Drosophila melanogaster: one gene and its partner. The protein of the gene in region 2 purifies or fractionates together with the protein of the main gene of each other region. This does not show direct contact. Each region holds a gene or a part of one and is shown on either strand. Other genes may lie near its edges. The genes, in order: CG10916 and Pngl.

Evidence for each region.
Region 1: the proteins of Pngl (region 2) and CG10916 purify together in Drosophila melanogaster (affinity purification with mass spectrometry, with the first as the bait; one large-scale study listed by BioGRID). This does not show direct contact.

The regions. Positions count from the first base shown.
Region 1 is NT_033778.4:18,171,787-18,176,318, forward strand, and holds CG10916 (uncharacterized protein), read left to right. Parts: upstream 1-1,882; 5' UTR 1,883-2,023; coding exon 2,024-2,815; 3' UTR 2,816-3,939; downstream 3,940-4,532. Other genes in the region: CG5726 (uncharacterized protein), read right to left, coding at 4,294-4,532.
Region 2 is NT_033778.4:6,015,662-6,021,329, reverse strand, and holds Pngl (PNGase-like), read right to left. Parts: upstream 3,592-5,668; 5' UTR 3,498-3,591; coding exon 3,122-3,497; intron 3,067-3,121; coding exon 2,975-3,066; intron 2,913-2,974; coding exon 2,077-2,912; intron 2,022-2,076; coding exon 1,937-2,021; intron 1,878-1,936; coding exon 1,781-1,877; intron 1,725-1,780; coding exon 1,315-1,724; 3' UTR 635-1,314; downstream 1-634. UniProt on the Drosophila melanogaster protein: Specifically deglycosylates the denatured form of N-linked glycoproteins in the cytoplasm and assists their proteasome-mediated degradation. Cleaves the beta-aspartyl-glucosamine (GlcNAc) of the glycan and the amide side chain of Asn, converting Asn to Asp.

The DNA of each region.
Region 1 (4,532 bases), about 12 Mb from region 2:
GATGCAATATTTGCGTCAATTATGTGCATATCTCAAAAGAGGGGCTTGGAAGAAGACACAAGAGAGCCAAAGATAGAGAGTTTAATTAGCCGTTCTAATAATTTCGTTTAATAGTGAAATGGCCATTGTACATACATACATATATCTATGGCAAAGCACAATAAACAATGATAATGACAAGGCTATTCAACCGTTTATTTTTTGTTAGAAACAGCTGATTGCCGTTTTGTATTTGTTTATATAATAAAGCTTTGTTGACGTACGCAAAGCACAGCTGAAAAGCAACAAATGGCATAATCTCGTACGCATTTTTTGGCGTTTATTTATAGGCGGCAAACAAAGAGCGCAGTTAATGCGTCAGTGTGTGTGCCAAACATAGATATGTACTATGTACTTGCGTACATATGTATGTATTGTTTGTATTTTGGCAAACCAAAACAAACAGAAAATTTGCATATTATGCGCACATTAACTTGTTTCCATTGGAGTGGCGGCAAGTTTGGGAAACATAATTTGAGCCATTGAGAAACCGCACTAGCTGTAAATCAGCTGAATATCCATTTGTAGTTGTATGTTGAACTTAGCAATTAAAAGTGAAAGGATACGGGTGAACGCAGAAAAAGAAACGGGTATCTGGTCCTTGGCACTTACAGTTCATGCAGCCTTTTGTGCTCCTCTTCTCCGTCTGGTGTTTGTCCCTATATCTTTTCGGATTTATTGCGAATTGTACATAATTTGTTTAGCTTTTCCCGTAAAATTGTTTTCCGTGTCCCGAAGCCACGTACCGCGCGTCGTTGCCAGATCGGTTGAGTATCGTAAGTACCTGGTGCCACTTATCGATAGCTAATTTTAAATATTTATAAATTCTTGTGTTAAAAATGACCTGAACAGTATTTGAAACTATTATTGAGCACAGGTGAACCTTTTATTAGTTTTTAGCTATAAAATCCAAATTTATTATATATATACATTACATATTTGACTTCCTGATTATGAAATACATTTGTTTAACAACTGGCATACACTTTAATTAGTCTATTTAGTAAAAATCTATAACAAAATAAAACAAAATTGTTCTGAAACCTTGAGACCTAAATATTAGCAAAAAGTTTGAAATTAAATGTTATAAGCGTTTGAGATCCATGTAAACTTACGAAATATAAAAATAACAGTATTTCTGGCACTACTTAAAGTCCATCTCTATAAAGCTCGTATCCGTTAATTTTAAAATAAAACAAGTGCGCCATACGTATTTAAAGCTCAGTGTGTAAAGGGATTCAGATATGGATGGTAACAGCAAAGAAATGGAAAATTGAGAAGCACCCACAAATGACCCATCGCCATACCGGATTCGGAAACTAATTCCCGAACAGACAATGGGCCACAGGTGCATTCACGACGAACTTGTTCGCAGAAGTACCCGGTTAAAAGCCTGTCCTCTGACTCACAAGAATAACAGGGATTTTCCCGAGCACCCTCTGCTCATGAATCTGGACAGAGACAGCTTATCGGATGCCCACCTGCCGCCCGAGGAAGCAGTGCAGTGCGGCACTAACGAGGACGGACATCATGCGTCTGGGCAAGGTACATTCTTCCCATAAGGTCATGTACATCCCGCAGCACGGTCAAGAGGTTAACGTTGGCACCAACGAAGTACTGGTGCAGGTTTGAAACGCTACTTTAATACAAAGTAAAGATCCAGTAGATAACCACAAAATGATAGCACAGTACATTATCTTAGCCAAAATAGAGTTATGATTAAGACGCTAATATAAATGTTACTTAATATAAATGTTACTTACTTAATGCTATAAGATATTTAAAGGATTATTTTCAATCAAGATTCAAACTTATTAAAATAACAGTATTTCTAGTATATTTGGTATTCTCCAGAGGTCATCTCTAATAAAGCAGGAAAGTTGATACGAATCGTTTCGTTTTCCGCTCATTGTTGTGAAATAAATTTGGAACAGAAGAATAGAGCCACACATATTCAAAGCTCAGTATCCATAGGGACGTAGTTATGGAGAGTAATAGTAGTGAAATGGAAGGTAACGGCGGAAAAATCGCAGAAACTGCACCCACAAATGACTCATCACCTTCACTGAACATTTTATGTGCAATTTGCAACGAGTTTTTCCGGGCCAACGACATAATTTTCTCAACTTCACGGTGCGGTCATGTATTCCACAAGGACTGCCTCACCCGATGGCTGAATAGGTCCAGGACCTGCCCCCAATGCAGAGACCCATGCGACCGACGACGCGTGCACCGATTGTACCTAAACTTCGCCGAGGCCCCGGAGTTCGATGACACCGAATTGCCCAAGGTGGCCATGGATTGGGTGCCCATTGATCTGGACAGAGACAGCTTACCGGATGCCCACCTGCCGCCCGAGGGAGCTGTGCAGTGTGGCACCAACGAAGACGGACTGCCCACGTATGTGGCCAGAGGATATTACCACGACGATCTCCTGCCTGCTCCTTATGTACCGGAAAAGAAGGCTGCCTTCGGTTCGCACAGCTGTAGCGCCCGAACTCTGACCGATGATGTCGAGATCCTGGTGCTCAACGACTGTGACTACAAGTGGGTGCCCGGACAGCATGGAACATATCCGCGGGATGCTCTGAACACGGGCTACTCCGAGCTGGGTGAGGTCACCTACACGGGTCGTGGTCTTTACCAGGGTATCCTGCGTCTGGGCAAGGTGCATCCTTCCCACAAGGTCATGTACATCCCGCATCATGGTCAAGAGGTGAGCGTAAACACCTACGAAGTCCTGGTGGTCACCCCACGTGACCAGGCAGATCGATGATGCTGCTGATATCTTAAATCTCTTATGCCTTATTGTATGAATCTGTGTTATAAATACATATGTACGTCTTATTCTATTTTTGAAAAAAATCGGATCTATTATTTCTGTACTTGTTTTAAATTCGCTTATCAGTAAGCCAAGATTTGTCCCCAATTTCTTTAATCAAGCGAAAAATTGATAACTTTGTTTTGACTGCCAGCAAATTATGTACAAATAAAAGTCCCCATATACATATGTATAAGTTAGTCTGCTATTTGCTGCCCTCAAGTATGCAATTCTTTATAATAGTTTGGAAAGTGAAGATGTTTGTGACTAGACACGGGTTTAAAAATATTTTGACCTTGACTTGATCAATGCCTACGATAAACGGAAATCTTGGTTTTTTGTATATTGTATCTAAAACGGACCAACTGTCTTCAAAATGGCAAGATTAATAAAAACTGCGGTCTTAAAGCTTTCTTACTATCGCTTTTGTAAAGTATGCACAACCGAGAGTTGCCCACAGAAGTTCTGGAAAGTGGAAACGCAGAAGACGAGGGGAGTCACCCACAAGGATTCGGAAAATACATTCATCCAATCAGGTGATGTAAATACGGAGGTAAGACTATGACATTCTGCTGGTGATTTCAAAAGTTTTCAAAAGAATTTGTTTTAATGTTTGATTAATGATAATGCAATTTTTTTGTTTTATTAAAAATGTGTTAGACGCTATTTATATGCTGATTAGTGTTTTGAACCTACGCATGTTGCGAACATATTGATTATACCTAAACAAAGAGGTTTAAGTATCTATATAAGACTACTCGTATAACTCTACAATTCATGTTTTTCTCTGCACTCCGGCTTGGCTTTGTTGTTCCAACAGAGGGCCTCACAAAATTTGCTTTAAAAATACGTAAGCTTGTATAATTCGTTTAATAAATCGGCTGAACCTGCACTATAACATGACATTTAATATATAAGTATATATTTAGCTAAAAATACAAATTTTTATATGTTCAACATGCTTTTAACATTTCACCAACAGGCGTTTTACTTTTCAATAGAAATAGGATTATTTTTGTTTTTTCATTGACTTTGTACTTAGTTTCTAAGCAATTTGTATATATAAATATAAAAATGAGTGTGTGTGACTGTATTTTGTGTGGGAGTGTTTATGTGGCGTGGTTGTGTGGGACTACACAAGACATTCATATATATATAATTGGTATTTACAAATTTAGTGGCTCCAATGTGTAATGCATGCATGCTTAATATTCTTTAAGCCTGGATTTGAGATGGATTTGTTTTGTGATTGGTCTAAATTGTTTTGTATTGGTTTAACATTTGAGCTCAGTTGAAGACAAAATAATGTGAAAACAGTCTACGTGGATATACACATCCATTAGGAAACATATACGAAGGCGAAACAAATAACTTCTAAACGGACTTCAAAAACAATTTTCGTACATGTGGATGACTTCGTAAAGTGTATAAACTCATTTCTGGGCCGACAAATAGTTCATGTACTGAGTGGTCTGCTGGGCATTCCGCACCAGCTCGCTTTCCTCCTTTCCGGATGGTGGTTGGCCCTTATCCGCCTGCCCCTGCCAGTTCTCCTCGTTCTGCGGCTGATGGATGTCTGGCTGGGAGCGGCGTGTGAAATGGCGGTGCCGCTGGTGCTGATGCTGATGTGGATTTTGTGGCGATGTCTGTTGGCGACGATCAAACGAGCTGG
Region 2 (5,668 bases):
CTAAGACACGCCATTAAATATCAAAATTAATATATATGTAAATAGCACATGGATAGATGTATGTACATAGTATATAGCACATAGCGTCTGGTCCACGTAGTGACGAAGCGTACCAGAAGAAGGTGATATATACGAAGAAATGAAAATTTGCGATGGTTGTCCGATCTTAGCTTAATATAACAATCGAGAGGTAGCTCACAAACTAAAGAGGCGGTAAAAGTGTGAGGCTAAATATTAAAAAAAAATTAGTCTGGGGTCGGAATTGTTAAAGGAAAACTATTTTCGGTAACCAGAACCTGAAAATATGAAAAACTTTTTTTTATTTTGGTCGATTTTTTAAGAACGGTCATCGCATGTAAAATGTTAAACCGTGTGCCCTTGAAATTTTTTAACTTTTATTGTACTAAAAATTAACGTTTTAATGTTATTATAAAATAAAAACAGTTATTTTTTCTCAATACCAATATAATGACCCATTCTTACCAATAAATTAGGTATGACCGTTTGCTAACTCTAATTTAGTGTAATGGTACCAATGATAAATGCCATACAGCTAAAAGAATATATGTAACATTAGTTTTGTATATATGTATATTCTACACAAAAATGTTTTGATGTTTCAACCAAATTTTAAGATTCATATATATATGCGCATTTTGTTGTAGATGATTAGCGAAAAACATGTTTCGAAAAATTTTAATATACCGATATTCATAAAGGGCAGGCAATAATCGAATGACTTTTTGGTGATGTAAAATGGCAAAATCACTGCGCGGTTCTCTGAAAATCGCTGAATACCTACATATGATATCTATTTGTATACCCGTTAGTTGTAAGCAAAATATACAAAGTATATGAATTCTTTATCAGGATCACTAGCCGAGTCGATCTAGTCTTTTTAATTGTCTTGCCTTTTTTCATCTATATATGTAAATCTTGAAAAATCGTCCCAGCAATTGTGACCAATAAAATTATTTATTGCTTTGATTCCGGATGAAATAAATATTGACATATAGAAGAAAATAAAGTTTAAATGTCGTTTCTAAATTTGTCATTCATATTTTAATTAACTGCAACCCAAATCTAAGAACCTTATATTTTGTATTAACTGTTTCCATGCGCTTGTTCTATATATATAGAAATTTCATAAAAGTTAGTCCTTAAAACTTCAAGTATAATTACATATAGCGACACTATGTGCCTTTATTTAATTTTTAATATACATTTTTGATTATTATATTTTCATCCAGACTGGGAATCGTTTATATTATTTACAATTACATTTTAATTTCTCCAAAATATTTTTTGAGGACTTCAATGTAGTTGCACTTGCAGATCGAAGGGATAGTCTCTTGAATTAAGACTCTGCCTGAACAGTTGTGTGTGTTGCCATGCTACATCGCCCTTGCCACCCGTAAGTTTGGCCACTATTTTGAATCCAGTGGCATTTTCAACCGAAGCGCTTCCGTCGGTGGCATCGACAGTCACGCTGATTTTTCCGTCGCCAAAAGTTTTTGTCTCGAAAACTAAGTTGTAAGACTTAACCTTTAAATTGGTCTTGCTGAAATCAAACGTCCAGGCAATTTCTCCGCAATCGGTATCCTCCAGTCTAGCCAAATATGCCATTTTCCAATCGCGTTCCACTTTCCGAAATATGTTCTTTGAGGAAAATTGCGCTTTTTGCCATGTCTTATAGCTATCCAAAATAGTGATGTGTTCTCCTTCTATGGATATAAAAGTTAAAAGCATTCATAGTGCTGTAAATAAATTCATGACTCGCCTTTGGCATATCGTTCGTATGTATCGGTGGCACAGCTGTAACGCACATTAAGTTGCCTTTTTTGTAGTTCGGTTGCACTTAGATTGAAAACGAATATCTGTAAATACATGAAAGGTGACAAACGGCCGGCAGCGCGTCTCAGGCCAGATCACTTACATTGGTAAAAGTATGCTCTCCACGTGACTGCCGCCAAGAAAGACTTCCCGAACTCCGACCCTTCAGCTCGTTTTCTGTCGGCTTACTAAACAGGAAACGGGATTAAATTTAATTTCGAACAGTTTCCTGTAAATGCTTACCGCTCTAGCGTCAAGCCGATGACCTCGTACATATTGCGCTGGCTGAGGAATAACTTTCGATCGGCGGTGCAATTTTGCCGCCGCTTTGCTCGAATCGCGTCCAGCGTTTGCACCATTTCTTTTTCCCCGCACAGCTTTCGTAGGTGTAGAATCTTCTGGTGGTCATTAGTATAGCGCCAAGTCACATCTTGGATGTCGTCCCTAGAGTATGCAAGAATGTAGTCGATGTGACGTTTCCAGCCATGCTGATACATCAGCGGAGAATCTATAACGTTCTCGGAGGGGTCAACATGGAGCCAACGCATCTGGGCCTCGGAGTACACCTCGGTCCAGACGTGATCAAAATGCGAGTGGACAATACGGGCGTCGTAGTCGAGGGCGCGACAGAGGAATGTGAAGCAATTGGCATATTCTCCGCAACGGCCCTTACGGGAAACTAGGAGCTGGGAAATGTCGTTATAGCGGTAGAACTTGCTCTCCTGGCCGCAGCAAACGGTGACTTCCACCCTTATATCACCTTCCCGTTCAGTGCGGCGCAGCCTGCTCTCTTCACTCCCACACACGCGGCAAGGTATATTGTTTACCCACTGGAAGAACTGCGTGTTGAACCAGTTTACCAGCTCCACAAGCAGCAAGTCGCGAACACATGGCTCCTTCTCCTGGCGCTCACCCGACGCAATTTGATCTTGGATGTCTATCAGTTTCTCGCTTGCCATTTCGGTGAGCTCTTCCACAGGAATCAGAGTGCGGCCAGTAGCCAGCAGCAGGTTATCCTCGTACTGCATGACTGCATCGGAATAAAGCTCTAGCGACTGCAGAAAGTTATTATTGGTGCGCTGAAAACAAGCTTCCACATCAGAATACAGCAGAGGTCTATCTTGTTCGATGGCTGGCTTACCAATACACGGGGGAAGGCGATTCTATGGCGATATTCCACAGAAGGCTTGATGAACAAGGGCGTGGTGCTGGTGGTGCTTTGTTGAGGAGGACCTATTAAAATCCGAGACATGATGATTAGGATGTCAGTCTTGCCCCCAAAGCTTACTTTTTGACACTGTGCCGTTAAGCCAGGCAGTGCGTCTCTCGCTCAGCGCATCTCTGTACTTCTTCACCTGCTGCAGTGACACCTCTGTGGGCAAGGTGTAGGCGTTGGAACTGGGGGCGCGTACGAAGCCTATGGCTTCCAGTAACCTCTCACAGCCGGGCAAGGACAGCAGCTTTTCTTTAATAGCTTTGTTTTCCTGCCGTATGGTGCGGAACATGGAGTTCTCCGGCTGCGCCAAGATGTTCTCCAGCAGCACTAACAGAATGCGGACCGCTTCCAGGTAGGCTTCCTTTAACCCTCGCTCCTGCTGCTGCTGACCAGCAGAACGGGTCTTCGGTTCGATCTGGTGCACGCACTCCAAGTTTATGTCCACCATGTTGATGACCAGCTGCCACTATCAGATTGGTTTCGTCGTTAGTAGGGGTGGCCGGCGGATGACAATCATGCAGACACAAAGGGTTATGGTGTTGGAAAACGCGATTAGTTTAGCGAACTTCAAGCGATAACAAAAGAGGTGTTTTTTAGGTTTTTTTTTGTTGAATGAAGCCAGCCGGATTCCACTAGCGTACATGTTCTTTTCCTGTGGGGATGCACAACAAATTTATGCACGAAAAATAGAGCTTGGATCTCCTTTTTATAGACATTTTAAAAAAGGTAAGAAATCTCTAAATTTCAACAATTGCTTTAAATAGGAAATAAGTTACTTAGAAATATTAAGTTATCACGTGTTGAAATTATAAAAATTACTCAATAATCTTTTGCTTAAAAAAACGGATTAAAAATACACAAAGCATTCAATTACCATTTTTAGTTAGTAGCGATCGAAGAATGTTTTGATTTGGAACTCCCAATATTTATTAGGTCTTGGAAGTATATAAATTATATATTAAATACATAATGTAATAGAAAAATAAAAAAAAATTTTTAGGAATCCACTTAGGACTAAGGGTGTTCTAAAATGGACGGTTCATGTTTCAAATTAAGTTTACATTGTTGTTGCTCAAAGAGAAAGCTTATGAGAGCAAGGATCCTGGAAAATTGATAAAGTAATTATGCACAGCTCTCCGAAAATTCGCCTTACAGTAGGAACAGCTCAAAGGGACTTGAAAATACTGCCAGCTCCAGCACTCGCACCAAGCAAATTAGTGACATGAACCGATGTACAACAACATACCAATGTTAACTTGCTAAATGTGTTACACCATTTACAGATCGTTTTTCATGTGGCAAGATATTTCAATATTTTTTAACGCTATTTGTTATCTTTATGAATAACGCTTGCTACTTCTTAGTCTGAATAATATTCGGCTTATAAAGATTTCAGGGATTCTGTAATGGATACGTTCGAACTTATTTCATTAAATTAGAGATAAACAATTATGTTATTGTAAAAAATATCAATTGAAATCATGCGAAAAAAAAACTTATTCTCAGAGGAGAATGCTAAAGACAATGTATAATGGATATTAGATATCCAATTACTGGATATTCGCTTTATTCAGTTTTAGCAACCAATTCTGAAGCGTACATGTGGAATAAAGATTAAAAAAATTATATTCCTGCAAAATATTTAGATGAATACATTGCATATATTGGAAATCGAAAACAAGTTCATTTTAAAATTGTGGGCTTGCCAGTTTTTTGTGGCTTGTGGACGTTAGAGTGAAAGTGGCGTAGTTATACAATAAAACAAACTTGCCCGAAGTAGGCGTCACTAGAATTTGCATGATTAGTTTTAACATCCTACCAATATAGTTCCAGAGACTTTGATGTCTATGCTAACATTAGTACATCGCCAGGTCGCCTCGGCTAGAGATGTTGATCAAGAGCGAATTCCCTATTGGGAATGTTGTTTGTATCTGTTTCTGTCCAACATTAGAAAATATTCTCAGCTGCAAGGCACATACGTACGCAAGGTACATACGCAAATTATAAAAATAACCTAAGTATTTTATATATATATATTTGTTAAAATCCAACTAAATTCATGTCCTTTTAATATAAAAGTTATTTAAGGCTGATTTCATGTCACACAACACTTTTTGAAATATGTTCTGAAATTGCAACTTCCTGGAAAACTCTACATAGCTTAATGCAAAAGCTTTCACAGCTAGTTAATGAAATTAAAAACAAAAGGTTGAGATACCGGGCCACTTGGCAAAACGCTCTGTAAACGGTGTAATACATTCTGAAAGTTAGCGTCGAAATGATAGTGCTATACATCGGTTCATAACATGGATTTCCCTGTGGTGCAGGTACAGCATTTGGCGGTATTTTCAAAACCCTTTTGGTCGAATTTTGAGAACACTGCATAATTTTTAAATGCATTTTCAAGGATTCTTAGATCATTTCTAATTTGTTGATAACACGTCAGTATACCAATGAATAAAAAATTTTAAAAAAAGTCCGCTCTCCAGTCTTCACCGTTTCCAACTTATCGCACATTTATTGTTGGTGGAGTCACTTCGGAAGTAAAAAAGACCATAATTTTATGCGTATATGGTCACACTACTTTTCAACCACTTTAACTCGAAAAAGTAGGCGTCG